Linked DNA regions of Elephas maximus indicus. The protein of the gene in region 4 purifies or fractionates together with the protein of the main gene of each other region. This does not show direct contact. Links are inferred from orthologs where the notes say so. Each region holds a gene or a part of one and is shown on either strand. Other genes may lie near its edges. The genes, in order: PPP2R2D, PPP2R2C, PPP2R1A and SERTAD4.

Region 1 (6,943 bases), on a different chromosome or scaffold from region 4:
CTTTACAATCTTCAAAGTTCAGAGTGCCTACTTTTAACCCTCCTTCCCCCAACCCCTCTACCTCTGCAGATACCACCCTCACTGAAGTGAGGTGAGGTCTCTAGCTTCAATTTCTAATGCCCTTTCTTATCACCCATCCCAAAGGAATGCAGAAACATGGTCTAAAGCGTAGGGTTAAGGCTGACTCACGGTAAAGCTCAGGCCAAAATAAAGCCTTCGCAGGCACGCCTCAGAGCCATGCATTCGTTCAGATTTCAGCGCACCCCAAGTCCTCCGGTCAAAGCTTAGTCCCTCTCACGAACTACCTACCCATTCCCTAGTAACTCTCTGAGCATCAAAATGTCTTCATTAAGGTTGAGTTTGGGCCAGAAATTCTTCTGCAAAGCATTCTGCCAGCTTCTTTTTACATGTTGCTTAAAAATTACCAGTTGCTAAAGATTGCATTTTCCTTAGTTACTGTCAAACTCTACGTTAATGATGCAATTCAAATTCATATCACAACTATGTGACAAAGTAAAGAACACCTAAAAATGTGTTAACCCTGCCAAGTGACTAACCCCTTGAGTGGGTTAAAAGAGAAAGTTGCGATACACACACTATCAGCGCAAAGCAGTCACCAAAATGATGGCAACTCCAAAACGTGAAACTTCTAGATGAGCTCAAATTTCTGCTCAAAACCGGGGTTTAAGGCTGCAAAAACTTCTAATCAGTTTAATTCTGAGAACAAAACCTTTCTGTCCCCATTCTTGTAAGAGAAAGAATGCCATCTTCAAAGTATCAAGTCACACTTAAAATATACCATTTCAGTTATATTTAAATTTCTATTCATTTAACTTGGCAATAAAAACTTCTAGAAAAAAGAAAGAAACCAGAAACTAAGACAGGCCTTAAGCTCTGCCACCAAACAAACATTTTCTGCTTTCCTCTCGATAGAAATCACCACTTCACCTGGGTAAAGGTGAACTGTTCCCTACTTGGGACATAAATCAAACAACAAAAGTAACATATTTTAGATTGATCCAAAGGAAACAGAATCAACGTGCTTGTTTATGCTTATTTACACTATATAAAATCATCAAGCTACAACCAAAAACCATACACGACTTCACAAATTTCTTAGAGTACAACTGCACTTCCCTAATCTGGGCACTGTCTGTCCCATGGGCCAAGGCTCGCAGATGTCCCCAAGGGTCATGCATCAAAGGAGACACTGCCAGGAAGAAGCACAGGGAGCAGGCAGAGGGAGTAAAGGGCACAGGAAGAGCCAAGGTTACTTGGGGCAGGGAAGATGAACTTGGTGCAAAGCATCAGCCAATGACAATTCACTCTTGAAAAGTGAAAGGCTCACAATGTTCAGTAAGATGGCTGAACAACAAAAAAAGTTTATTATTCTAAACCTAAAATGTTAAACTTCTCAGTCTCTAAAAATCATTTTTACACTCAATTTTTCCCTTTAAGATGACATGTGGCTTCATGGGAAGCTGAGAGAGGCAGGGTACACCCTACGGAGTTTCCCACCCAGTCCTGAAACTCTAAGCCTTAGCCCACTTGAGACTATTGTGAAAAAACCACCAGCCAATTTAATGCAATGCCATAAGGTTCGAGATTAAAACCTAAAAGGGAAAAAGAAACAGACATCAAGATTGGTGGTAGAATTCAATAATTTTAGAACCCTAGAAGGCAGTCTTAAGAATCCAGTAGACCAACTCTCTTCTTAGAGAGGAAGAAACTGAGCCAAAAAAAAGAGAGAGATTAAAGACTGCGCTGGGGTCTAGAGAACCGTGGGCCCCGTCCCTAATCCTCAAGTACAGTCACCCCGATTTTAAGTATCCTGAGTCCCCAACTTCTGCAGTTATTTTCTTAGTTCCACCAAATACAGGAGGCGGGGGCCACTTCCATTGGGAAGAACCCAGAACTGGGCTCAAAATACCCCCGTTCTCATCCAGTCTCCGCCACTCCCCCGGTCTGTGACCTTAGGCTACTTACATAACCCCTCTCAGCCAATATCCCATTAAAAATGACACATCCGTGAGCGCACCAAGAAACCATCACGTACAGAACAGCGCCCCACTGCAGCCGTCCCCACGGGGCGACTCCTCAGGCCACCATGGCCACCAGGCAGAGGGGAGCGTGGTCCCGGGGAGCGGGGCGAGTGCCGGCTTGTCCCTCTCAGACCTGAACCCGGGCCCGTCCCCCCGCGTCTGCGCCCCCCAGCCCGTGCCCCAGGCCTGTACCCGCACGTCTGCGCCCCTCGACCTGTGCCCCGGGCCCGTCCCCCGCGGCTCTGTCGCCCCTCGACCTGTGCCCCGGGCCCGTCCCCCGCGGCTCTGTCGCCCCTCGACCTGTGCCCCGGGCCCGTCCCCCGCGGCTCTATCGCCCCCCCCGGTCTGGCCCCTCCAGGCTTGCCGTCCCCCTCTCCGGCCTGAGCCCCAGCCTGTACCTGGGCCGCCCTCCGAGGCCCGCGAGCGCCGGGGGCCCGGGAAGTGCTCGGGCCGGTCCCTCTCGGGGCCCGAGGTGCGGCCGCGGCCGGAGGCGCGCACAGTGACCCGGACCCGGGTTGCAGGGCCCGGCGCGATTCCGCTCGGGCGGCACTGCACCAGCGGGACCGCGCGGAGGCCGAGGCGGGGCCGCGCGCCGGGACGTGCCCGTCACGCCAGGAGCTGCGCTCGGGCCGGCCGAGCCTTACCTTCCGCCACATCCTCGTCGATGGCCCCCTTCACCTGCGAGAAGCACCACTGGAAGTCGCCGCCGCCCGCGGGGCAGCCGCCGCCCCCGGCTCCTGCAAACACACGAGGGGCATCAGGCCCGGCCCCCGCCCCCGCCCGTCCCGCCCCCGGCGCGCGGCCCCTCACCTGCCATCGCCGAGGCGGCCGGCGCTGAGGCGGCGGCGGGCGGACGATGCCGCGCCGACTGCGCGCACGGAACGAGCAGCCGCCGCGCTACCGCCTCCCGAGAACCTCAGCCCGGCAGTCGCCTCCGCCAGTGATTTTTTTTTTTCCCTTTTCAAAATGGCGCCCAATGCCCGTCGCCCCGCTCGATGACGTCATCCCTCCACCTCCAGTGAGAGGGGCCGGGGCCGGGGGCGGGGCCTGTCCCGGGAGGGCGGGGCGAGGCTGGCGTGCGGCCCGGGGGCTGTCGGCGACGCGCCCCGCGTGGACTGCGCCTGCGCGAGACGCCGTCGCGCGCCCGGAGCCGCTCCCCGCCCCATGACCCGCGGTCGGGAGGAGACGGTTTAGGGACGCAGGAGGAGCGCCGGGCCGGCGGGTGTCCGGAGCTCCTTGGAAGAACACTTGCGGGGCCGCTCTCAGGGAGGGTGTAGAGGGCTCGAAGCGGCGACCCCGAAGCACCCAGTGGACAGGCTTCGAAAGCAGGGTGGACACTCGACTTCCAGTGCTGACTCAGCCTCGCTCTCAGGCGTGCCCCACCGCCAGTCTGAGCCCCGCCCCTCGGACCTCGACCAATTGGAGCACCGCCCTTTTGCGAGCCCTGCCGCGGAGCAGCCAATGGGGGCGCGCTCGGCGCAGGGCTGTCTGGGGGTGGGTGGGCGTGGCCTCCGGGCAGGGGTGGGCGAGGCCTGAGTGCTGCTCTGGCCCGCCCCTTGGAGCCTCGGCCAATGGAAGGAGCCAACAGGGGCGCACTAGGCACGGCGATGTCCGGACGGGTGGGGCTTCCCGGCCCGCGCGGCGAGTCCGCAGGTTCGCGGCCAGAACCCCGTGCCGAGTTCGCCTGTGTCTGTGAAGTCGGCGGCTCAGGGATTCTTGGAGCTACCTAGGGAGACACTTTGATGAAAACCTTTGGTTTGAAATACAACGTGGCTGGCCTCTTCTTCGTTTGTGGGTTTGTTTTCTCTGGTATCCGAGAGATTACCCATTCATTTATGGGTTTCACCGGTATCTGAGTCCTAACTCGTATCAGTGATGTTGCAGAGTTGGCGGTGGTCGCATTGCACAGTTAGAAGACAATGCTCCAAATCAGGAGAAACAAGGACCTAGAGTCTCCGTTCACTGAAGGAACGGTTATTGATGGCCACGCCCTGCTCCAGCTGCCAGGGTGCGGCGGGGGCAGAGAGTCTGACCTCCCCAGCTTATATTTCAGACAGGGATTCCGGCGACAACAAGAGCAAGTTATGTAATAAGTCACATGGTGCTAGATAGAAAAATAAGGTAGAGATCGGGCAAAGGGCGTATATTTGGGGTGTGTGTGGGGAGAACTTGCAATTTTAAACTGAATGATGAGGAGGACCATGAGGGGTTGAGGGAGCCAGCCGTGCAATATCTGGGAAAGGTTGTGCCAGGAGGTGGAAACAGCGGGTGCAATGGCCCTGGGGCAGCGTGCATCTGGCAACAAGCAAGGAGCAGCAAGGCAGGAGGCCGGGGGTGGGGGAGCAAAGTGGGTGAAGGGAGACGAGGTAGACGTGAAGACAGGGAGGTAAGGCGAGGAGAATGGAGGGTGTGCCCATGTGGGCCCATTCAAGGATTCTGATGGGTGGGGGACCCTATGGGGGTGATGAGGAGGGGAGGGTGGTGACCGATGGGGCTGTAACAGGCCACTGTGGCTGCCGTGCTGAGAACAGAAGGAGGGACTCCAGGGCCAAGGCAAGGAGACCCGTGAGGGACCACTGCCGGGTCCAGGCAAGGTGATGAGGGGTGTGGACGTGGGTGTGAAGTGAGAACGGTGAGAACGGTTGGATTTCAGAGCCGCAGTGTTGCCAAGGCAGGGCTTTGGGTGGGCGTGCAGGTGGGATGGATGTAGAGGAAGAAGGGACCGAGGGACCACTGCACTCCTGGGGTCTGCAGCCCTAGCTCGAGGAGGGAAGGACCACAGAAGGAGCAGTGTGGCAGTACAGGCCCAGGGGTGGCCATCAGCTGAGGGAGTGGTGGCAAAGGCAGCTAGACATCCGAGCCGGGATCACAGGGAGGTTGGGGCTGGAGTGTGAACTCAGGGTCAGCAGCATCTTGAGGCTGGAATGGTGAGATCACCAGGAACGGGGGTGGATGGGGAAGAGAACCGAGGTCAGAGTCCGGAAGGGTGTGGGAACAGAGAATGGAGGACAGAGGAGCAGCCTTCCTGGAGCTGGGCGGGGAGCCAGGGACGGGATGGGAGCTGTGGCTCTCCAGTGCTGCAGGCGGGTGGCATCAGACAGGCTGCAGGGTGGACCTTAGCTTCCCCGGTAGGAGCCCAGAAGCCCAGAGCAGCTGCCGGGGGGGGGGGGGCGGTGGTGGGGGCAGTGAGCACCACAGCCCTTCGGGAACCTTGTCAGGAGAAGCAGAGACAAGGCGCCATAATCTCCCCTTTTTATGTGCAGATTTGTCCAGCCTGACGGTGACCGCAACTGAAACGTTGGCCAGCTATCAGACTGTCTTCTGTGTAATTGCTTTGTGTATGGAAGGAGTCCCTGGGTGGTGCAAAGGGCCAACGCATTCACTTGTAATCAAACGGTTGGAGGTTCCAGTCCACCCAGAGGTGCCTCGGGAGAAAGATCAGGGGATCTACTTGCAAAAAATCGGCCACTGAAAACCCTGTGGAGCACAGTTCTACTCTGACACGCGTGGGTCACCGTGGGCCGGAGTGGACGCCACGGTAACTGGTTTACTATTTTTTGTTCCGTTTTACCATTATGTGTGGAAAGATAAGTCTTTTCAAATGATGGCAAGATAACTTGGTTCAGATGTGTTCTTTCACGTATTGGCTACCATTAAATTACATTAAAAGACAAGGTGTGGTCCACAGAAGTAGCATATTCCTGACAATAGTGAGCTGTCTTCCTTGGGACCCACCCTGCGTCAGCTGGCCTGCAAGAAGTTTTAACTCTTCTTTTCTGTGATAATAAAGAGCTTTAAATATCTCTGTGAATTTCACTGTTTGCATTCTAATTGGTGTTGACAAGTCTTGGGTATTGCAAGACAGTTTTCTTTTTCCTTATCATAATTTTTAGAGCTCATCGCGAGTTGTGAAGTGTCTGGTGTGTATTAGAGTCTAGTGTACTGTACTCACACAACGGAATACTATTTAGTAACGAAAAAGAACAAATTACTCCTAAGAGCGACAGGGGCGAATCTCAGAAATACAATGCTGAACAAAAGGAACTAGACACAAAAGAGTACGTGCTGTAAATGGTGATTCCGACCACGGCCACCCCGTGCGTGCAGGGTAGAACTGCTCCATAGAGTTTTCTAGGATGTGACCTTTTGGAAACAGATCACCAGGCCTGTCTTCTGAGGTGCCTCTGGGTGGGTGCAAACTGCCAATATCTCAGTTAGTCATCGAGCGTTTGACCGTTTGTGTCACCCATCCGGCGACTCCTTCCTCTCCATGATGTCACCAGGAGTCAGAATCTACTAGATGAAAAAAAATTATTTTTTAAACAGTCTGACTGCTGAGCCTCCGTTTAGATCGCTTATAATATGGAGACAGGAAAAAACATGGTTGTGGGAGGAGGCTGATTGTGAAAGAGCAAGAGATACCCTTCTGGAGCCAGGGGGATGTTGTATGTCTTCACTGGAGCCAGGGGGATGTTGTATGTCTTCACTGGAGCCAGGGGGATGTTGTATGTCTTCACTGGAGCCAGGGGGATGTTGTATGTCTTCACTGGAGCCAGGGGAATGTTGTATGTCTTCACTGGAGCCAGGGGAATGTTGTATGTCTTCACTGGAGCCAGGGGAATGTTGTATGTCTTCACTGGAGCCAGGGGAATGTTGTATGTCTTCACTGGAGCCAGGGGGATGTTGTATGTCTTCACTGGAGCCAGGGGGATGTTGTATGTCTTCACTGGAGCCAGGGGGATGTTGTATGTCTTCACTGGAGCCAGGGGAATGTTGTATGTCTTCACTGGAGCCAGGGGGATGTTGTATGTCTTCACTGGAGCCAGGGGAATGTTGTATGTCTTCACTGGAGCCAGGGGGATGTTGTATGTCTTCACTGGAGCCAGGGGAATGTTGTATGT
Region 2 (7,616 bases), on a different chromosome or scaffold from region 4:
GTGACTAATTCACACTAAAGTATGAATGACTAACAAAGCCTAAATTTTCTCAAGGTATTTGGGACTTTACAAGAAGGGACTCAGTGACTCAAGTAGGGCTCCCACTAGCGAAGATGACACTTGACTTGGGACCCAAAGGATGAGAAGGAGTCAGCCCTGAGAAGAGCAGGGGGTGGGTGTTCTGGGCAGACGAGCAGCCAGAGCAAACACCCTGGAGCAAGAAAGAAAATGGCCGGTTCAAGGGACCGGAAGTAAATCAGAGCGACTGGGGCGCAACGAGCGCTTGTGGATCCACAACCCGGCAGACGAGGAGTCTGCACACCTGGGTCTTTTGCCAAGTGAGTCTCGGCACGCACTATTTGCCCACAAAGGTCTTCCAGAAACAAAAGTTTCCAATTCTAACAGTGCCATTTATTAAACAGGCCAAGACCCTGCTGGGTGCTTTCTACACATGATGACCACTGACCACGCCAACCACCCTGTAAGAGAGGTCTTTGTTAGCTCCGCTTTATGAAGGGAGAGAGCGAAGCTCAGAAAGGGCTAGTGACCTGCCAAAGCTGCACAGCAGGTGAGGCGTCAGAAGCAGGATTTTAAGGCAAGTCTGTCTGACATCCAAACCTGTGACCCACTCTATGCTCTGGGCATAAGATGCAGCCAGGGATGCAAGTGTGTCAAGTCCATTTTCATTTAGAGAGCCCAGAATTCTGGGATATTTCTAATAACTGTTGTCATTGTGTCTTCTACTAGACTGTGTTCTCCTGGAGGGCAGGACTTCTGACCTGGCTCGTCTCTGAGTCCTGAGCACCTCAGCCCTATTCCTCACACGCACTTGCCCTTAGGCTGGGGCCTGGACAAAGGCCAAGCCTGTTTCTTCATCTGTAAAATGGGGATGAGGTGGAGGTGAGATCATGTGTGAGGCCCCAGCACTGACACGTGGGCCGCCCACTAACATCTTACAGTGCCTTCACACAGGGTCTCACCCCATCCTCACAGGAAACCCAAGACCCTGTAGGCAAGTTTCCCCACTTCACAGATGGGAAAACCGAGACTTGGAGAGAAGGGATTCGCTGCTAGAACACAGGCTGCACAAGGGCAGAGGCCTCTGTCCAGCCCCCAGGGCTAAAGCAGGGGGTGCTCAGTAAGTGTTTGTTGAATGGATGCTCGAATGATGACGGATTAAAAGTCACCGCCTCTTACTCCTGCAACTGCCGGCTTCCCCCGCTCTCCCCTGCTAAAAGCTGGTGAATTTCTGAAAGATAATTGGCAAGGGGTGGGAGGAAGGAATTAACCTTTGTAAAAGTCCACTATGGGGCAGGAGCACTGCTTTTCGGTTTGGACCAACCACATGCCCTGGGCTTCTGTGCCCTTGTCCCCATAGCACAGGTGAGAAAACAGACGCTTCCCTCTGACAGGCTGGCCGGATAGCGGGGGAGGAGCTGACCCGCCAAGACGCCCGCCCCTCGGCCAGGGCCAGGCCCAGGGGCGCCTGCCAGCACCTCTGAGGCCCCTGACCCCCAGGCGCTCCCTAGGACACACGCTGAGGCCGGCGTCAAGGCTCGCTGTCAGCTCCGGGTCCGAAGCTTCCCGCAGCCCCGGCGCCCCGCCCCGCCCCATCCCACTGGGAAGCGTGACTCAGCGGTTCTCGCCGCGGACGCGAGGCCTCTGCATCCTCCGCCCAGGCGCCCAGGTGGACACCTGGCTGCGCTCCAGGCCGCCGAGCCACCGCCGCCACACGCCTGGCCGGAGGGGCCGCCAGCCCCCGCGCGCTCCTGGCCCAGCTTGGCCTCATTTCCGGCGGAGCCAGTGTCGGGCGGTGGACACGACTGCGGATCCTGTCACCGCCGCGGGCCCACCCTGCTTCGCGGCCACGGCCACCTCCGCACCCCCCACAGGACGCGATGCCCGGGGACTCGGTGCCCCCAGGGCCCCCACCCTGCCCACCGGGGCACCCACGGGTTTCCTTGCTAAAAGCCCATAGCCCCTCCTTGGCCGGTCCGGCAGCCCCTGGGAAAGATGCTGATGGTCCCCGCGCCGAGGAAGGCCTCGGACAAGTGTCCCCGCCGCAGCACGCTGACTCCCAATGTGTTCATCTCCCCCTCCTAGATGGGCTGGGAGCTCTCCCCACTGTCCCCTGGGCAAGGTCAGCACAGAGCATCCCTGGAAGTTCCTGGCCTGTAAAGAGGGCGCCGAGCCTGGAGACGCCACCAGCCCGATGGAGGTGCGAGCTGAGCTGTGAGGGCCCGTTTCGGGTGACCTGTCCCACTTTTCGGGAAATCCTGACAGTTTGGGGCAAGCTTCCCCGTCTCAGTATAAACCACAGGAATAAAACACCAGCCCGGAACCAGCGGCCTCTCCCTCCTACGAAGGGACCCTGCCTCTGGGGACACGCGGCAGCCGAGCCCGGGAGGATGGGCAGATGGGTTTTTCCCGGGTCCCTCTTCGTCTCCCGGGAGTGGGTAGCCTAGAAAATTCTGCGGGCTCTGGGCAGGGCCGAAACCAGGCCCAGGCTCTGAGGACACAGCCTTTCCCTGGATATCTCCATAGACCCGCCCCGGTGGCCTTTTTAAACACGACGGCGGGCCGGGGGCGCAAGCCACTTCCCGCGGCGCCTCCCGGAGGGCGGCTCGGAGGAGGGGGCGCTGGCTCCCTCCCGGCCCCGCAAGGGGTGGGGTGGGGTGGGGTGGGGTGGGGTGGGGTGGAGCGGTGGACAAACACACAGCGCGCGGTCCAAACCTTCAGAGGGCATCGGGTGCGACGGCATCCCCACGCCGCGGGCGGCCGGAGGGGGTCTCAGACACACGTACGTTACCTTCGGTCACATAGCTGTGGTCCCGCAGGAAGCTGTGGTTAATTTTCCGTGCGTCCGTGTCCTCGCCCATTGAAGGCCGTGCCCGGTGCCCTGGGCATGCCCCGCCGCCGCGCTCCGATGCAATCCGCAGGGGTGGCGCCGGGCGCGCGGGCCATGCCGCTGCACCTAGCCGGGGCGCGGGCCGCGGGGGCGGCGCGGGGCGGGCATGGCGGCCGGCGGTCAGGCGGGCGCGCCGGGGCTCGCGCGGGCCGGGGCCGGGGGCTGGGCGCGCATCCCGGGGCCGTGCGCGCTCAGCGTCTTGCGCCCGCGGCGGCGGCGGCGGCGGCGGCGGCGGCGGCGGCGGGCGGGGAGGGAACGCGCGCGGCGCTGCGCCACCGAGCCGGGGCCGAGCCGGGTGCGCGGGCGGGCCGCCGCCGCTGCTGTCGCCGTCGCAGGCCCCTCCTTTGCGCCGCCCCCTGCGCCCCGGCCCACGAGCGCCCTGCGGGAGGAGCCGCGCCGGGCGGAGCTCGGGCCTCGGGAGTGCGGCGCGGCGCCTGGGATGGCACTGTGCGCGCGGGGAAGGCGGGAGGAGGCGGCCGGGGCTGGTCCTCTCGGGGCGTGGGGCCCCCTTGGGTGCCAGGTGCTCTGAGATGGAAGAGGCGGCCTGCGGGGGCGGGGGATGAGAGGGGCGGACAGCTTCGCCGGCAGAGGGCAGAGACCCTACAGGACGCGCAGGAAGTGGGGGGCGCAGCAATGAAATTATAAAAAAAAAAAAAAAAAAAAGCCGGAGGTGGCACCTCCCCCGCAGAATGGGAGACCGCGGAGGCAGGGAGACGAGGAATGGGACTAGGCCCTTTCGTTGTCCGGTGGGACAGCAGGTGGAACACGTTGCGTCCCACGAGTTCTGGGGCCCTGTGCACAAAACGGGGTCCCCTTGAAGAAGCTGAGGGAGGGGCAGTCTGCACCCAACAGGCCAAAACTTTGGAAGACACGGCTGGGGGGTGTTGGCTCCCCCAGCCGGAGCAGTACCTCTCCTCAGGCTCCACCCGGACTCTGGTGAGATAAAGGGGCAGAGCCAGCTGGGCCCTGTAGTCCCCGGTGCCCACCCCCAGCCCTGACACAGTGCGGGGCACACGGTGGGCCCTCCGACATACCTGTCCCTTCTTCCGAGCAGACCCTTTACTGCACGGGATCCAGCGTTCAGGGGTGGGGGCCAGGGACAGGGATCACCAGGCCCTCCAGGGGCTCAGTGAGTCTCTGCAGAAAGGGAGGGGGAGGGAGGTATAGATCCCCTTCAGGGCATGAATGCTGGGGAGAATCCAGATTGGCTGGAGGCCTGGGCGGGGGTGTGAAGCTGGCTTCGCTCAGGTCCCCAATTCTGAGAGTTCTCCACTCCTCTCTCCACTGGTTTCTCGGGGACTCCAGCCAGCTCCCCAAACCAGCTGCCTTGGGGGTCCAGAGGGGGTCAGCACAGGGAGGGAACGGCTGTGAGAAAGAAGTGGAGATGCCATCTTAGGCTTCTTGCTGGAGTGGGAGGGTTGTCTCCACTGGAGCTGGGCTTTCATTCCAAGGAAGGGCTCAGAATGGACCCCCCCCAGAGGCTCCGGGCCAACTCTCCCACCGGTGCCACCTCGCCCACCTCATAGCTCAGGGATGCAGAGTCAGTGCGAGGACCAAATGAAGCGTCCTCTGGTGCAGTATCCAGCCCCAGCACCTGCCCTTTGGGTCTTGCCAGGCCCTTGGGTCCTGCTTGGCCCAAGTCACCATCCAGGGGGCTGACACCTGGGGCATCTCCCCCACCCAGAAGGAACGAGGCTCGTCTTCCTCGCTCCCTATCACCCAGCCTCCTCACCTGCCCTGCACTGCATATCCAAACCCAGCACCCCATGCTCTACCCTGCCCTCTTCACTCCCCTGGCTCCACCCAGGGACACCGACAGGTAGGCTGGGCTCACCTCCTGGAGGCCAGCGAGGGCTGGGGCTACACAGTCTGGCCTGGAAGCATCTTAGCAGGGGCCTGGCCCTACTGGGCTGCCATTAGCCCTCACGATTCTGATTGTTCTGAGCACCCCCCGCCCCGGTTTCCCCAACCCTTCCTCTCTGCCCTGTCAGTTCTGCTGAGACCCCCACTCCACAGTGGCATCACCTTCACCCTCCTGGGTGCCCAGACCCAAGGAAAAACGCCTGCCCCAATCCCACCCTGCAATCACCTGCTTCCTTGGTTCGAAGCCAGGCTTCAGGCTCCAAAGCTGGAAATCTCCAAGCTCACGGGGCTCGTGGTTCCAGCCGTCTCTTGTGCCCCCGTGCCGTCTCCTTCCCCTCCCTCTAGACTTCTCCTCTCCCGGACCCCCTCATCCCCAGCCCCCACTCATAACACAGGCCTCCACACCTCTCTTGGCCAGCACCCACTGCCACACACCCATCTCTGTCTCCCATGTCCCTCTCAGTGGTGAGGGCTGTGACCAGGCACTGCCCTCCCCCCTGACACCTCACAGGACTGTCCACATCCCCAGCCTTTCCCTCTGTAGGCCCCCTACTCATTCACTCATGACAATTGTGGGAGAGCTCGACTGCGTGCAGGCTCCATCTGGCTCGGGAGAGCGGGGACAGAGCAGATGGACTCCAGCTCTCATGGGCTGACCTTCTAGGGGCCGCAGAGTCAATGCAAAATGCACACGTAACTCAGGGAGGGGGTCCTGATGAGTGCTATGAGGAAGAGAAAGCGGGGTGCAGGGACAGAGAGGGCTGGACAGCGGAGGGCGGGGCGAGTGGATGGGGGCCTCTGTAATAAGGTGGTGTGTCAGCAAGGTGCAGAGATGGGCAGGGACAAGTAACCTGCAAGGTCTCTTCCACTTCAACACCCTCCTGTCCCCGTGCCTCCGTGGGACCCTCCAACTCCGCCGTGTTGCCAGCAAAGTGCCAAAGAACACATGTCTACACTGGCCATCCCCCGCTCCCTGCTAGAGCCCTCCCAGGCAGCTCCTTACCACCACCCTGCCCTGCTCCCCGAAGAAGAAAGCCTGGCCCCACCAGCTGGATCATGTCTCCCTGCTCCTGAAACCAGTGGAGGCACTGCCAGCTTCCTCCCCTGGCTGGGCTCTCAGCGGCTCCCACCCTGCCACTGCCCCCACTTGTCCCATGGCCCTGGTGACACCACCTTCTCTTCCCCTCCTCCCCGTGGCTGCTTCTCCACTGCCCCACGAGTCCTCCCTGAAGAGCTGTTCTCAGCTTCCTTCTGTTCCCCAGTTTGTTCTAGTTGAAGTATAACACACACACAGTAAGATTACACCTCAACATAAAGAAAATAAAAATCCCACACCACTGGACCAATAAGCCACATCATGATAAATGGAGAAAAGACTGAAGTTGTCAAGGATTTCATTATACTTGGATCCACAATCAACACCCACGGAGGCAGCAGTCAAGAAATCAAAAGACACGCTGCATTGGGCAAATCTGCTGCAAAAGAGCTCTTTAAAGTGTTGGAAAGCAAAGATGTCGCTTTGAGGACTAAAGGGTGCCTGACCCAAGCCATGGTGTTTTCAATCACTTCATATGCATGTGAAAGCTGGACGATGAATAAGGAAGACTAAAGGAGAATTGACGCCTTTGAATTGTGGTGTTGGAGAAGAATATTGAATATACCATGGACTGCCAAAAGAACGAACACATCTGTCTTGGAAGTGCAGCCAGAATGCTTCTAAGAAGTCAGGACGGTGAGACTTTATCTCTTGTACTTTGGACATGTTGTCAGGAGGGATCAGTCCCTGGAGAAGGACATCATGCTTAGTAAAGTACAGGGTCAGCCGAAAAGGGGAAGACCCTCAAGGAGCTGGATTGACACAGTGGCTACAACAATGGGCTCAAGCGTAGCAACAATTGTGGGGATGGCTCAGGACTGAGCAGTGTTCCGTTCTGTGGTACACAGTGTCACCACGAGTTGGAACCGACTCGACAGCACCCAACAACAACAACATGCACAGAAAAGTGCACGACTTAAATGTTCACCTCCATGAGTCGCCGCGGAGCAGACGCTCACATGACTGCCACCCGAGTCAGGACAGGGCACTGCCAGCCTCCCGTGGCAGGCTCACTGCCTACTCCCCCACCCCGGGTCACTACCCAAAGGTGACACCACCTGGGCGTCTGATGCTGTCATGGTGCTTACTAGAGTCATAGGGTATGAATGGTTTTGTATTCTGGTTTCCATTGCTCAACAGATGCACTCGTGTTGTTGGATGTGTGTAGCTGTAATTTATTCATCGTTCACTGGTGTGTAATATCCCGTTGTGGAAATAGACTACCACCCGTTCTGCTGCTGAGGGACTGCGGGTGGTTTTCCTTTTGGCGGCTGCTGTGAACGGTGCTGCTGCGTCTCTGCACTGCCGTGCACGCACCTGGGTGAGCACACTCACAGGGGAACTACTGGTGACGGCGTGTGTCTGTTCAGCCTTGGTAACTGACGCAAGCAGCTCACCAAGCAGGGGGCATAAGCCAGGAGGGAAGAGACAGGATCTATCACTAGAGACTGCAGAGAACAGGGTCTTACCAACACCCTGACTCGGACTTCCAGCCTCCAGAACTGAGACCATGCACTTCTGTTCCTTAAAGCCCACTTTGTGGTGCTTTGTTGTGGTGGCCCCTGGAGACCAAGATAGCAGGCCTTCAAGACTTGATGCGTCTGCACGTGATGCTTCCCTATGCCATTTTTCCTCCATCTGGCTCAGCCTGCGTGTCACGATAGGGTCCCTGGTGGCACAGATGGTCTGTGCTCGACTACTAACCTAAAGGTGGGAGATTTGAATGCACCCAGCCGTGCCACAGAAGAA
Region 3 (7,933 bases), on a different chromosome or scaffold from region 4:
GTATGTGCAACAGAATGAAAAACTGCCCGGTCCTGCTCCATCCTCACAATTGCTATCAGGCTTGAGCCTATCGTTGCAGCCACTGAGTCAGTCGATCTTGTTGAGGGTCTTCCTCTTTTTCACCAACCCTCTATTATCCTTGTTTCTAAGGAACATTCTGGCTGTACTTCTTCTGAGACAGATTTGTTTGTTCTTCTGGCAGTCCATGGTATATTCAATATTCTTCACCAACATCATAATAATTCTTTTGTCTTCCTTATTCATTGTCCAGCTTTTGGATGCATATGAGGTGATTGAAAACACTATGGCTTGGTTCAGGGGCACCTTAGTCCTTAAAGTAACATCTTTGCTTTTTAACACTTTAAAGAGGTCTTTTGCAGCCCAATGCACTAGGTCTTTTGATTTCTTGACTACTGCTTCCATGGGTGTTGATTGGGGATCCAAATAAAATGAAATCCTTGACAACTTCAATTTTTTCTCTGCTTTCCACGATGTTGCTTATTGGTCCAGTTGTGAGGATTTTTGTTTTCTTTACGCTGAGGTGTAATCCATACTGAAGCCCGTGGTCTTTGATCTTCATCAGTAAGTGCTTCAAGTCCTCTTCACTTTCAGCAAGCAAGGTCATGTCATCTGCATAATGCAGGTTGTTAATTTGAGTCTTCCTCTAATCCAGATGGCACGTTCTTCTTCATATAGTCCAGCTTCCCAGATTATTTGTTCAGCACACAGATTGAATAGATATGGTGAAAGGATTCAACCCTGATGCACACCTTTCCTTAAGTCACACAGTATTCCCTTGTTCTGTTCCAATAACTGCTTCCTGATCTGTGTACAGGTTCCTCATGAGCACAATTAAGTACTCTGGGATTCCCATTCTTCGCAGTGTTATCCATAATTTGTTATGATCCACACAGTGGGATGCCTTTGCATAGTCAATAAAACACTGGTAAAACATCTTTCTTGTATTCTCTGCTTTCAGCTAGGATCCATCTGACATCAGCAATGATATCCCTGGTCCTCTTCTGAATCAGGCTTGAATTTTTGGCGGTTCCTTGTTGATATACTACTGCAGCCGCTTTTGAATGATCTTTAGCAAAATTTTACTTGTGTGTGATATTAAGAATATGGTTTGATAATTTCTACATTCAGTGGGATCACCTTTCTTTGGAATAGGCATAAATATGAATCTCCTCCAATCATTGGCCAGGTAGCTGTCTTCCAAATTTCTTGGCATAGATGAGTGAGTACTTTCAGTGCTGCATCCATTTGGTGAAACATCTCAGTTGGTATTCTGTCAATTCCTGGAGCCTTTTTTTCACCAATGCCTTCAGTGCAGCTTGGACTTCTTCCTTCAGTACCATTGGTTCTTGATCATACGCTACCTCCCGAAATGTGTGACTGTCGACCAATTCTTTTTGGTACAGTGACTCTGTGTATTCTTTCCATCTTCTTTTGATGCTTCCTGGGCTGTTTAAAATTTTCGCTGTAGAATCCTTCAATATTGCAATTCGAGGCTTGAATTTTTTCTTCAGTTCTCTCAGCTTGAGAAATGCTGGGTGTGTTCTTACCTTTTGGTTCTAACTTCAGGTCTTTGAACATGTCATTATAATACTTTACTTTGTCTTCTTGGGCCGCCCTTTGAAAACTTCTGTTCAGCTCTTTTACCTTATCATTTCTTTCATTTGCTTTAGCTACTCAATGTTCAAGTACAAGTTTCAAAGTCTCTTCTGACATCTATTTTGGTCTTTTCTTACTTTCTTGTCTTTTAAATGACTTCTTGCTTTCTTCATGTATGATTTCCTTGATGTCATTCCACAACTCGTCCGGTCTTCGGTCATTACAGTTCAATGTTGTTGTTGTTGTTAGGTGCCGTCGCGCTGGTTCCAACTCATAGTGACCCTGTGTACCACAGAATGAAATACTGCCTGGTCCTGCACCATCCTTATAATCATTGTTATACTCAATGCATCAAATCTATTCTTGAGATGGTCTCTAAATGCAGGTGGGATATACTCAAAGTCTTACTTTGGCTCTTGTGAACTTGTTCTAGCTTTCTTCAGCTTCAACTTGCACTTGCATATGAGCAACTGATGGTCTGTCACTTTGTCTTACTGTGGGGGTTTGCGTGCTGCTGTAATGCTGGAAGCTGTGCCACTGGTATTCAAATACCAGCAGGATCGCCCATGGCAGACAGGTTTCAGCTGAGCTTTCACATTAAGACAGACTAGGAAGAAGGACCTGGCAGCCCGCTTTTGAAAAAATTAGCCAGAAAAAGCCTTGTGAATACCAGCGGAACATTGTCTGATACGGTGCCAGAAGATGAGCCCCTCAGGTTGGAAGACACTCAAAAGACGACTGGGAAAGAGGTGCCTCCTCAAAGTAGAGTCAACCTTAATGACGTGAATGGAGTCAAGCTTTTGGGACCTTCATTTGCTGATGTGGCACAAGTCATGAGAAGAAACAGCTGCAAGCATCCTTTCATTTGGATGATAATGATACCACCTTATGTCATAGATCTGTTTTGAGCATTAAATGAATTAATTCATAGAGTACATTTTGTTGTTGCCGTCGAGTTGATTCTGACTCATATTGACCCTATAGGACAGAGCAGAACTACCCCATAGGGTTTCCAAGGAGCAGCTGGTGGATTTGAACTGCCAACCTTTTGGTTACCAGCCTAGCCCTTAACCACTATGCCACCAGGGCTTCATTTTACTACAATTATTATCATTGCATTGATATTTTAATTGTATAGGTAGTTCTCAAATACTTATTAAAGTTTGTGGCTTTGTTTTGGCATTTTGGAACCAAAAATTTCTTCTTTTTGTCTCTGGGGGAAAAAAAAGTGTTATAGGCCTTTGAAAATCCCTGTGTGGCACAAAGGGTTTGTGCTCAACTACTAACCTAAAAGTTGGAGGTTTGAACCTACCCAGTGATGCTGCAGAAGAAAGCCTGGAAATCTGCTTCCTGTAAAAATTACAGCCTTGAAAACCCGTGAAGCAGTTCTACTTGTAACATATGGGGTTTCCATGAGTCTGAATGGACTGGACAGGAAGGTTTTTCCTAGGCACCTAAAGGTTAAAAGGACCCCAGCCCAAGATCCCAAGCAGTCTGACATCAGGGCAGGCATCCTTAGGTAAGAAGATCCATGGCTTCAATGGGCTTCAGTGGGGAAGCCTGGGTATATGAAGGGCAGGGGCTAAAATATGTACCCCTCCCCAAGGATTAGTTTCCTGACTGGCATGGCATGGCTGTTTGGAAAAGATACTTGGGATATTCATACTTGTCAAGGGGCCCTAGCTCAGCCCAGCCCTTCAAGTGAGAGTAATAAAGCGGGAAGGGTCATTTCAGGCCTTCCTATCCCCTCCAGCAGGACCCTCAGTAAGGGTGGTCCCAGGATTTCACGTGCAGGGCTGTTCAGAGAGAGGTTGGGAACAGATCCGAATCTGACCAAACCCTGCTCCCATTCTATGGAGGAGGCAGATTGCAATACAAAGGCACAGCTCGCTCTAGGGATGAGAACTTTGAGAGAGGGATGTTCTTTGGCTCTGGAGGGCCGGAGGACTGAACCTGAAGGCAGGGAAAGCAGGGAAGGCCCTTGGTGACCCCTTGTGTTACAGAGTAGAACTGTGTTCCATAGGGTTTTCTTGTAAATCTTTACAGAAGGAGCTCTGGTGGCGCAGCGGTTAAATGCCTGCCTGTTAACTGAAAGCTTGGCTGTTCAAACCCACCAGCTGCTCCACAGGAGAAAGATGTGGCAATCTGCTTCTTTAAAGACTGAGAGCCTTGGAAACCCTATCAGGCAGCTCCACTCTGTACTATAGGGTCACTATGAGTCAGAATCAACTCAACGCAACACAATGGGTTTTCGTTTGTTTAATCGTTACAGAAATAGATCGACAGGACTTTTTTCCAAGGCACCACTGGGTGGATTTGAAGTGCCAACCTTTAGGTTAGTAATCGAGCACAAACCATTTGCGACACCAAGGAAAGAGAAGACATTTATGTACAGTGCACTCCAAGTAGAAAGTACAGCTCGAGCAAAGGCTTGTTGGCATGGAAAAGCAAGATGTGCACCCAAACCAAACCCGTTGCCATCTAGTCAGTTTCAACTCATGGTGACTCTGTAGGACAGGGTGGAACTGCCCCAAAGGATTTCCAAGGAGCGACAGGTGGATTTGAACTGCCAACCTTTTGCTTAGTAGCCTGAGCTCTTAACCACTGTGTTACCAGAGCTCCAAGATGTGCAAGATGTGCATAGATGGCTCTAATTTTCCAGAACTGCTGGAGGGTAAAAACGAGAGGGGAACGTAAGCACAGTAATACCTATTCAAAACCACAACAGTTTTTAATTTAAATACCAGCTCGCGAGGCTTGCGTTTTATCCAGGGAGCAAGGCAGGTCGCCACCCTTCCCTGACCTTCGGTTTCCCCGGACATAAATCAAGGACCCTTTCTCTCCCCTCCTCCTTCTCCCGCAAAAAAGTCCAAGAGAGTCTGCCGCCAACCAGCCTGGCCACCGCCTCACAAGTCAAATCCCTCAGACTACCCGGGTCACCCCATGACGTAATTCATCCCTAGCGACGCACGCGCAGAACCCTCCTCCCGGACTCGCCGAAGGACAGGCTTCGCCTCCTCCCAATCCCGTCTCTCATTGGCTAGAATCAACTGTTCGTCTCTGCCGTTGTTAGCGGCAACGTAGGTGGGCACAATCCTGGTCGCTAGGATACCGCATACTTCCGTTTCCTTCCCACTCTCCAAGGCTTCTTCAAGTCCAATCTCGTCCATTCGACCAATGGCAAATGGACAGTAGGCGGGACTTTATTTGCCCGGACCAACGAGACGCAGACTTGGCCCGCCGTAGCACGGCCAATGACCGTAGGGCAGCCCCTGTAAAGTGGCTCGGGCGCCCCCACGCCCGTCTTTCCTCCTCCTCCCAGCCCCGCCCCTCCCCATCCCGGTTTCAGCCCGGCGCTGGCCGCAGTCTGACAAGAACGGGACAGAGCGAAGATGGCGGCGGCCGACGGCGACGACTCGCTGTACCCCATCGCGGTGCTCATAGACGAGCTCCGCAACGAGGATGTTCAGGTCCCGAAGCTACAGGGGACTCGGGGAAGACGGGAAGGGGGACGTAGGGGCGCGGGCGATCCTCGCGGACAAGGCTCAGTGTTCGCTGGGAGTGGCGGAAGGGGGCGCCGGCCAATCAGCGCCCAGTTCTTATGTCTCCGGTTCCCTGAACCCGATGAGACAGTGTTCTGGATTGGGTGTCGACACAGCGGAGGGCGGGAGCGCGGGCCGAAGGGTCCCAGGCCTGCCAAGTGCGCGCGGCGGCTCCGGGGGTGGGAGGCCAAGGCCACGCGGGGAGGGGGGGTCTGCCACCTGGGTGGGGGAGAGATTGGCTGTGGCCCAAATGGTCCCTTGGGGATGGGCTGGGCGCGTGACTAGTTCCGTGGGGGAGGGGCCTCCTGTTTGGCTGGGTCCCGGGTAGGTTTACTCTTTCCTGGGTTTGGGCATCTGGGCCGCAGTGCTAGGGGATCAGCTCTACCCAAATGGTACCGATGGCTGAAGGCTTTCTTCCCAATTCCTGCGTTCCCCCTTCCAATGTTGATGTAGACGCCCGAAGAGGAGGGGCACGGAAAAACAATCCTCTAAGGAGTGAACTAGCCAATTTTAGAAGCGAATTTTGTAGAAACCCGCTCTCTTCTCCCCCCAGTTTTCCCATTGGATGGGGGATGCGCAGTTTCCTAAACGTGCTATATTTTTGTGATGAGCGAGGCGTATGGGAATAGGGGGGCCCAGAGCCGTGAGCCCGTCTGGGGAGGAATTGAGAAGAGTTAAGGCATCTCTGAAGAAAGGACTGGCGATCCGCCTCCCAAAGGTCTTAGCCTTGAAAACCCTATGGAGCAGTTCTACTGTGCGCACATGGCGTCGCCATGAGTCAGAATAAAGTTGATGCAAGTTAACAACACGGCTTCGTGGTTAGTAACCTGAGTGCCCTTCCCATGTCCACTTCCCTCCAGTTGTGTGACCTTCGCACATTACCACACCCTTCTAAACCTCTGTTTGCCATAATCGTGGCCTAATGATAGTCCTGGTCTCCTTGGGTGGTTGAGAGAACTGAACAAGTTAATAATGCAAGTAAAGCTTGGCCTATTGTAAGGGCCCAATAAATGTTAGCTGTAATTATTGGAAGTGGTGATTGAAGATGTCCCATCTTTTGGGCCTCAATTTCCCATTTGTAAAATTGAGGGAAAGGGGTCCACTTGGAAAGCGGCGCTCAGGCTCCGAGGCTCCAGACTCTTGTTCTGGAGTCAGACAGGCTCTGCTTGTATTCCTGGCTCCTCCCCCTTACCAACTGACAGGAGCAAGTTAGTTAATCTCGCTAAGCCTTGGTTTCCTCTTCTGTCCAATGGGGATAATTACCTAGTTCGTAGGGGTGTTCTATGAATTGAGTTGTTCGATAAACACTTGCCATGTATCTGGTAAGGAGCCTTGGTGGCAGGCACAGTGGTTAAAGCGCTCGGCAACAGGTCACCTGTTCACCCAAAGGTTGGTGAAAGGTTGGTGCTGGCTCGGAAGAAAGACACTGCAGTCTGTTTCCTTAAACATTACAACCTCGGAAACCCTATGGGGCAGTTCTACTCTGTCCTACAGGGTTGCTATGAGTCAAAATTGACTCCACAGCAGTGGTTTTTGTTTTTTTTTTTAATGTATCGGATAGGAGTACCTGGGTGGCGGAGATGGTTAAAGCGCTCAACTGCTAGCCAAAAGGTGGACAGTATGAACCCACTCACAGGTGCTTTGGAAGACAGGCCTGGCCTGACCTGGCCTGGCAATCTGCTTCTGAAAAGTCACAGCCTTGAAAGCAGTTCTACTCTGACACACGTGGAGTCACCATGAGTCGAAATCAACTCCAAGGCAACTAACAACAATAATAACGTGTATCAAGTGTGGTGCTGGGAATATAGGTGGCACCAGCTACTATGCAGGAGACAGGTGTGAAGCATGTGAACATCGTGTGAGAAGTGGTGGGAAGGAAACAAACAAGTTGGGTTAGTGAACTAGTAAATATCTGTTGGGCCTCTACTCTTCTACGGGGCACTGTTCTAGGCACAGGGATACAGCAGGGAAAAAGGCACAAAAATTCCCAGCTTCTCAGAGCTTAAGATGTAGTGACAATAAACAAGACAGTAAGGAAAATGTATAGTACGTTAGAAGGGGATAAGTAGCATGGAGAAAAATAAGGAGAGATGGGGTGCGATTTTTAGAAGAGTGCTTAAGGTGGCCCTGCTGAGGAGACATTAGAGCAAAGACCCAATGGAGGCAAGGTAAAGAGCCATGAGGCTCTCTGGGCAGAGGACAGGATCCGTACAAAGTGGGGTGGGGGCGATCCATTTTAGGAGATGCAGGAAGGCCTCTCTGAGGCTGTGAAGCTCAAGAGAAGGTGAAGAGCCTTCCAAGAAAAGACATTTAATGGCAATAGTTCTCAACCCAGGGTGATTTTGCCCCTAAGGGGACATTTTTCAATGCCTGGAAACATTTTGGGTTGTCACAACTGGAGGAGTCCTACTAGCACCTAGTGGGAGAGATCAGAGATGCTGCTAAACATCCTGCAATGCACAGCATAGCCTTCCACAACAGAGCTGTCCAGCCCAAAATGTCTGTAGTACTGAGGTTGAGGGGGGCTGCCTTCTGGGAAAGCCTGGAGGCGCAAAGGAGCTTGGTATTTTTAGGTTTCTTTTCTTTATTCCAGTTCTATTGCTGCTGTAACAAATGGCCTAACTTAGTGGGTGGATGGTTGTCGGTGTGTGCCACTGAGTTGATTTCGACTCATGGCAACCCTATGTGACAGAGTAGAATTGCCCCATAGGGTTTTCTAGGCTATAATCTTTATAGAAGCAGATGACCAGATCTTTTCTCCCGCAGAGCAGCTG
Region 4 (7,397 bases):
CAATCAACACATATTTATTGAATGCTTTCAGAGTACCAGGCGCTGTGCTAGGTGCTGGGGATACAGAGATGAATAAAAAAGACAAAAATCCCTTCCCTTGTGGCTCTTACTTTCAAGAGGGAGAAGATAAATGGTAAGTAACATAAACACATAAACTGTAGACTTAAGGTTGTTGTTGTTAGTTGGCACCTAATAGATTCCAGCTCGTGGTGACCCAATGTATGTAGGACAAAACTGAGCTCCCCAGGGTTTTCAAAGCTGTGACCCTTTGGGCCTTTCACTGAGGCACCTCTGAAGGGGTTCCAACAGCCAACATTTCTTGAGTGCTTAACCAGTTACGGAAACCCTGGTCGTGTCGTGGTTAAGTGCTACAGCTGCTAACCAAAAGGTCGGCAGTTCAAATCTGTCGGGCGCTCCTTGGAAACTCTACAGGACAGTTCTACTCTGCCCTATAGGGTTGCTATGAGTTGGAATCAACTCGACAGTAGTGGGTTTGGTTTTTTTGGTTTTTAACCAGTTACACCCCCCAGGGGTGCCTGAGATTGAAGTGTAGAGGAGGCCAAAAGCTGAAGCAGGGAGCTCAGTTCGGAAGCTCTTATCATAATCCAGGCAAGGGATGGTGATAGTGACTTAGACCAGGGTGGTAGTAGAGATGTGAAGAGGTGAACAGGTTCTGGAAAATTTTTAAAGGTAGAGACTTTAGGATTTTCTGATGTATTAGATGCAGGGTGTGAAGAAGAAAAAGAGAGAGAGAGAGAGAGGGTTGAGCATAACTCAAGGTGTTTTTTTTTCCTGGGGAACTAGTAAAATAGTGTGGTTGATTGACTGGGATGGAGAATATTAAAGCACAGGCTGGGGGTGGAAGGAGACATAGGTAGTCAGGAGTTCAATTTTAGGTCTGTGAAACTTGTGATACCTATTAGACATCCCAGAGGAGCCTGGAGATCCAGAGAGAGGTCTGGGCTAGACATACAAATTGCGAGTCAGCAACATATAGATGGTGTTCGAAGCCATAAGAATGGGTATCAGCATTCTATAAAGAAGAGGCAAGGTTCAAGGTCTGAGCTGGAGGCATGCCAGCATTAAGAGGTTCCAGAGAAGAGGAGGAACCAGCAAAGGAGACTGAGCAGGAACAACCAGTAAGGTGGGAGGCAACCCAGGTAGGTATGCTGGCCTGGAAACAAGAGTAAAAGGTGTTTCAAGGAGTTCGTTGTTGTTAGGGATCCCTGGTGGCATAGTGGTTAAACCCCTTGGCTGCTAGCTGAAAGGTCAGCAGTTTGAACCCACTAGCTGCTCCACAGGAGAAAGATGTGGCAGTCTGCTTCTGTAAAGATCACAGCCTTGGAAGCCCTAAGGGGCTGTTCTACTCCGTCCTATAGTGTTGCTATGAGTCGGAATTGACTCAGTGGCAATGGGATAGGTAGGTTGTTGTTAGTTGCCACTGAATCAGCTATGATGGTGACCCTATATATAACAGAACAAAACATTGCCTGGTCCTGCACCATCTTCAGGATCAATGGTATGCTTGAGTTCACTGTTTTGACTGGAATGATCAACTGGATCAAATGTTGCTTACAGGTCAAGTAAGATGAGAACCAATAAATGACCTTTGAATTTAGCAAAATTGAGATCATTGGTGACATTGACAATGGCAGGTTCGATGGAGTGGTGGATGAAAGCCTAAATGGAGAGGGTCCGAGAATGGGGAGAAGAGGAATAAGAGAGATTGAGTATAGATGACTCTTTTTGCTGTAAAGAGGTTGCACATTTTCAAATAAAAAGCTAGAAATTCAGGCTTTTCATTAATCCAAATGGGCATCATGTCCTCATCAGTCTGCTTACGTAAAATTTTTCTTGTTAAATGCCCCTTTCCAATGATAAAACATTTTTGCAAAATGTATTTCAGCAGTTTTAAGTCTGGCACTCTGTTCACTGAAGAAAAACAATCACTACCTTCCGTGAATCTGCAGATCAAGTTATTTTAAGTTTTATAATCAAACTTCTATCTCAGAACTTCCTACACACACATATGCAAACATATCCCAAGGTAATGACCTCATAGTTCTCAGGTTGGATATCGTAACTTCATTATAAATTGCATTCACTCATTTCAAACATTTCATTATTGATTTAGTTATTTCTTTTCCTGTGCCATAACCACTGCCAACTCACCTTAAATGCTTAAATGATGTTTCTCATTCAGTGAAAACTTAACTGCCTTTTCTACTTGTAGACACGGGTTCATGATGTCAACAGTTGGGCATTGAATTTCAGAAAACATTAAGCCTGAGATTAAAAGCAGGGCAGGGAAAGCTATCAATAAAACATGCTAACCTAAGGTATCCAAACAGGATAGGGTCAAGTTCATACTCAGATCCACAAGGGTGCTGTGAAGTACAATGATTTGATACTTGTGTTATGATGTCATTTTGTATAACATTAAAGCGCAGAGTCCTCCCACCCAAGGGCAATGCAATTTCCCAGAAGGCTTGTTTCTCAGAGCCAAAGCTGCAAAGATGCCAGTGCAACCCATGCTGTTACTTAGTCTCATCTTATTTCTCAATTTTATGCTTAATTTGCTCCTTTTGGTTTTATGTATTTTGACATAGCCAAGTAAGTGTATGTGGGGATGTCCCCCATAGTCCTTTAAATGCCATAAAACTTTAATATAGAGAGATAAAAACAGTAATAAGCCATGCCTCTAAGCCCAAATATTTACTTCCTTATTTGAGTTAGACACTAACTAGTTTTAGATACTGATTTTGGTTTTCAAGTACTTGCCCTGCTTTAAATGCCCTTGTGCCCTTTCTTACCCTCCTTACCCACAATATGAGGATTGTATTCTACCCTAAATCAGGGCACGGAGTTCCCATTGATTGCACAAAATGGCATCACTGCAATTCTTAATCCATCAGCCTACATGGTGCATGGGCCAATGCAATTTAGTATGGCTCAGAATAAAGTCAAGATGCCCAATTCCCAATTTTAGACATGCAACCCTGGAATGTCTTCTGGAAAAAATGAAATAATGCTTCTGAAAGTCTGTCGGGTTAGTCGGTTTGCAGCATAATTGCCTTTTCTCAGCTTTCTAATACCCAGAAAACCTTTGAGAGTCTTTAATGTACAAAGTTCAACAAAAATAACTTCAAAACAGATTAGTTCTAATTACGTTTAATATTTGTTTGCTGTGTTATTGAATAAACCACGTGCTTTAAAAAAAAATTCACTTAACTGTATGTCAGTCTCCCAAATTTTAAGTGTACAAATGAAATGGAAAACATTTATTACGCAAATTTAATTACAATTCTAAGAAATAAACATGCAAATTAGATAGAGTTCAATTTGCAGATGCTAATCCTCATCCTTGATCTCATTCCTTTCCTCCCTGGTTTTCAGTCTGTGTGTCTCCTTGATTCCTAGGGTGCCAGGCAGCAAGAGGTTGGATTTTTCACAGTCGGAGGATCACTGTTTTAAAGAAGTGTTATATTTAGCACATCTGGCATAGTAGCAGTAAACAAACATTATAGTCTTTGAAACACTTCTGCGCAGGTGTCTTCCCCTGACTTTATTAGGTCTATGCCTTCTTTTTTTTTTTTTTATGCCTTCTAAGCCTCTGCATTCATTACACCTGAAATGACCCATCTCGACTATGGAGGGGTCCCTAGACAGAAGTTATGAATTAATGTTTCAGAAAACAAACCCCAGTTGAGCCCAGTTCAAGGGAGAATAACTATTTGCAAACTAATGTGATCCCAGGGCTTAAATTACACTTCCCTTGACAAAAGACAACCTCCTTTATTACTTTTTTTTTGGGGGGGGGCGGTTTTCCCTGGAGGCTCCCCACCCAGAAAGATTTGCCAATTCAAGTTGCAGCAGGACCAAGATTGCTTCTTTATACAAACGCAGCTCAGGAGGGGAGCAGGCGAGGGCAGGCGGCGAGGGGAGAGTAACTGTTTGGTCCTGCAAAGACATCTGTTTCTCATCTCCGTTTGCTGTGGCGAAGGAGAAGAAAAGTCTTTTGCAAAGGGTGGGAAAGGCACAGTTTTTTTTTTAATCACACACACACACACCAGTTTTTTACACACACACACACACGGCCCAAAACTAGACCAAATTAAAAAAAGACATCCCAGAAGGTTGCAGAGTGAACACATTATTTGGCTGAGGCCAAGCCTTCAGGGCTAGGGCTGGAGCCCTGGAGCGCGTGGGGTCTGGTCTGCGGGCTGGAGCTGGGCCGGCGTGTCCCCGGGCACCGGGAGGAGAGGGGAGGAGAGAGAGGAGGGAGGGCGGGAAGGAGGCAGGGGGCGGGCTGGGGTGGGGGTGAGGGGAAGGCGCCCGGTGTGCTGCCTGAGGAGCGGCGGCGGCGGCGGCGGGAGCGGAGGGAGGGAGGGAGAGCGGGCTCTCTTGTCATGTTCCCTCTCTCGCCCTGGGGGCATCCTGCAGAACCTCTCCTCGGAAATCCACGGGGAAATGGCAAACAGGATTGACGGGTTTCACATGCTCCTCGCTAGACAGAGCCGCTCATTACCGTAACCGTCTGCAGCGACGGCGGCGCGGCGCCCCAGACGCGGCGGCGGGACCTGCCGGGACGCTCGCCTGGGCGCACCAACCGCCACCTCTTACCCGGCCGCCGCGCGGGGACTGGCGCGAGCGCACGGGCGGCCGGCTGGTGCCGCGCCCAGAGCGGACAAGCGGGAGCTGGAGCGCTGCGGCCGCCGCCTCCTCGCTGACCCCGCGGTAAGAGACAGGCCGGGAGCGGGCCGCGGGGGCAGGAGGCCGGAGCGGCGGAGGGCGAGGGCCGGTCCCCGGGGTGAGGGCTCGTGCCGACCGACATCCACGCGGCCTCCCGCGCGCCTGCCCCCAGCGCTGCGCCGGAGACACCGCGTGGACTCGCACCAGCCCGGGCGGGGCCGGGGGCGGCCTGGGTTTCTCCCTGGGCCGGCGCGCGCCGTGGCGCCTTTCCCGGGCAGGAGTCGCCGCCGCCTTGAGGGCTGCTTCGGTTGCTGCCCGCGCGGACATAGCCGAGTCTAGGGGCGGGTGGAAACCGCACCTCTGGTGGGACCTCGGTCTCCCTAGTCCCCCATCCTAGCGGACGGGGGCCCGTATCCGGGATGCCCCTAGGTCTGGACGCCGCGGCGATTAGCAGGTGGGGAGGGAGGGATGGTCGATGTCAGGAGCGCGCGTTTGCAAGAAAAAGGAATCGCTGCAGAAGCTGACACGTTCTGTCCCCCGCCACCTCCGCCCCCGCACCTTCCTCCCCGTCAGCCGAGCCGCGCTGCGGGCGGCGGCGGCTTCTCTGTCCTCAGCTCACCTCCCCGGCGGGCTGAGGCTGCTGCCCGCCGGTCCACGCCTCCGCCTCTCTCCTCCCTTCCTCCCTCCCGCCTCCTCGGTCTCAGCAACTTTCCGGAATGCCCGCCGGTGCCGCGGGGATGGGGGGAGAGCGGCCGGGGCTGCGGGTGGCGGGGACAGGACGGATGCCCGCGGGCGGCGCGGGCAGCTTCCTCGGGCCCCGGTTCTCCGGGCGCGAAGGGCGCTCCCGTGGCCGCGGACTCTGAGTGGACTTGGCCGGCAAGGGAGGGAGGGCCGGGCCGGCGTCTGCTGCGGACTGGAGCGCGGGGCCCGGGCCAGCCTCGCCAGAGCCCTGCCAACGCCGTGAGTCATTTCCTTGGAATTCTACCTTTGCTGTTTATTTCCCTTAGAAGAAAACTTGTCTTAAAAAAAAAAAAGGGAAGAAGAAAGAAAGAAAATAAAGAGAGTAAGAAAAATAATAGCTGTTATTCTTCAGAAGAGGCACACGGCTCCCGCACCGCGTAAAGACAACTTGCCCTTTGTTCCCAGACACTTGGGGGTGTTGTTTACTTTCCCCTGTGGACGGCGCCCAGGCGGGCGCTGCTCCCCACCCTGGAGAGGGGTGAGGGGCTGCAGCACCGACCCCCGGGGGTGTGTCTGTGGGGTACGCAGGACAAGGTGGCCGCCGCCCTCCCGCAGGGGTCGGTCTTCCAAACCTCGGACTTTCCTGTTAGGTTTGGTCTGGGGAGAGCCAGCGCCAGGGTTTGGCCATCCGGGCCTCCCTAGCTCCCCTCAGACCCTGGATCCACATTCCCAGCCCCAGGATCCGACCTGAAGGCTCCTGACCTCCAGGGGCTGCAGCTGAGAAATGTACTCCCCGAGGTAGACAGGTGCACTGCTGGGACTGGCAGAGAATGCTTCTGTCAGCTTAGAAGGATTGAAGGATTCGGCACTGCCCTTGCTCATCCCACCACCACCACCACCACCACCACCAAAAGCTGGACAAACTGTTGAAATCTTGTCACCGACAAGGTTGAGTTCAGGGGCTTGATTCCATCTGGGCAGGATACTTAAGACTGGGAGTGTCAAAAAGGAAGTGGAAATACCAACCCTTTCCTTCTCTCCTTTTCACTACTGGAGTCAGAACTCCAGCTGCCCTGATGCTTTTAATAAAATGTCCTCTAATTACCAGTGATGTAGGGGGAGAGTGAAGAATGACCAGGAACCCCTTTAGACTAAAGCTGACCAGGAATCTGGGATACCCTGTGCTGTTTGTCAGCCACTTCTATTAGCATCATCATGGCGGCTGGGGTAAGAATAAGCCCAACTCATCTGAAAAAACCAAATTATGTAGACATGCCAGGTAACTGTACTATGAATATCTGCTGGAAAAGCCTGACATTTTAGCCCTCATTCTTCTGGGAATGCTTGAGGTGTCATTCCATTACATTCATCTGGCTTATAAAATAGACCTGCAGGAGCCTAAACGTAAAGAGTTAGGTTTTTTTTTTTTTAACCCTCATGAGTTAGAGGTTAAGAGCTACAGCTGCTAACCAAAAGGTCGGCAGTTCAATTCCACCAGTCGCTCCTTGGAAACCGTATGGGGCAGTTCTGCTGTGTTCTGTAGGGTCACTATGAGTCAGAATCCTTTCCACGGCAACGGGTTTGGTTACAGGTTATAGACGCAACACACGTTAACACCCTCCTTTTGAATCCACTTACCACTGATGTTAAAAAAATTTTTTTTGCCATAAATATACATCTTTGTGGATCTTTTTAATATTAACAGCACATAATTTTATGGACATGAACTTCTGAGTTCGGTAGCAAAATTATAATGTAAATATCATCGTACAGAGAGTAATAGTTTGGATCTGTACATATAATACAAATAATCATGTGAAACACTGGTGCTTAACACTCTGGATTCCAATTTTTCATGAACGTTGAGCCTGCCTTCTTAATTTAATGTCCCACTGTAAGACTCAATTGCAAAATCTCCCTGCTCCCAAATAATTCCAGTTCATTCATGTTTTATTCAGACTTACATAAATCACTTACAGAACTTACACTCTCCAGTTTAAGATTTTGTGTATAGAAGTTTCCAA

What was found.
Region 1: the proteins of SERTAD4 (region 4) and PPP2R2D purify together in Homo sapiens (affinity purification with mass spectrometry; 3 studies listed by BioGRID and IntAct, counting the BioPlex papers as one, with this or other methods). This does not show direct contact. The link is inferred for Elephas maximus indicus from reciprocal best matches to the Homo sapiens genes SERTAD4 and PPP2R2D.
Region 2: the proteins of SERTAD4 (region 4) and PPP2R2C purify together in Homo sapiens (affinity purification with mass spectrometry; 3 studies listed by BioGRID and IntAct, counting the BioPlex papers as one, with this or other methods). This does not show direct contact. The link is inferred for Elephas maximus indicus from reciprocal best matches to the Homo sapiens genes SERTAD4 and PPP2R2C.
Region 3: the proteins of SERTAD4 (region 4) and PPP2R1A purify together in Homo sapiens (affinity purification with mass spectrometry; 3 studies listed by BioGRID and IntAct, counting the BioPlex papers as one, with this or other methods). This does not show direct contact. The link is inferred for Elephas maximus indicus from reciprocal best matches to the Homo sapiens genes SERTAD4 and PPP2R1A.

What each region holds. Positions count from the first base shown.
Region 1 is NC_064834.1:81,628,260-81,635,202, reverse strand, and holds the start of PPP2R2D (serine/threonine-protein phosphatase 2A 55 kDa regulatory subunit B delta isoform), read right to left. Parts: upstream 3,019-6,943; 5' UTR 2,860-3,018; coding exon 2,853-2,859; intron 2,780-2,852; coding exon 2,687-2,779; intron 1-2,686. UniProt on the Homo sapiens protein: Substrate-recognition subunit of protein phosphatase 2A (PP2A) that plays a key role in cell cycle by controlling mitosis entry and exit. Involved in chromosome clustering during late mitosis by mediating dephosphorylation of MKI67.
Region 2 is NC_064823.1:165,453,957-165,461,572, reverse strand, and holds the start of PPP2R2C (protein phosphatase 2, regulatory subunit B, gamma), read right to left. Parts: upstream 3,001-7,616; 5' UTR 2,880-3,000; coding exon 2,810-2,879; exon of another isoform or gene 2,762-2,809; coding exon of another isoform or gene 2,734-2,761; intron 1-2,733. UniProt on the Homo sapiens protein: The B regulatory subunit might modulate substrate selectivity and catalytic activity, and might also direct the localization of the catalytic enzyme to a particular subcellular compartment.
Region 3 is NC_064829.1:94,755,214-94,763,146, reverse strand, and holds the start of PPP2R1A (serine/threonine-protein phosphatase 2A 65 kDa regulatory subunit A alpha isoform), read left to right. Parts: upstream 1-4,929; 5' UTR 4,930-5,009; coding exon 5,010-5,087; intron 5,088-7,933. UniProt on the Homo sapiens protein: The PR65 subunit of protein phosphatase 2A serves as a scaffolding molecule to coordinate the assembly of the catalytic subunit and a variable regulatory B subunit.
Region 4 is NC_064836.1:21,604,313-21,611,709, forward strand, and holds the start of SERTAD4 (SERTA domain-containing protein 4), read left to right. Parts: upstream 1-4,390; 5' UTR 4,391-4,737; intron 4,738-7,397.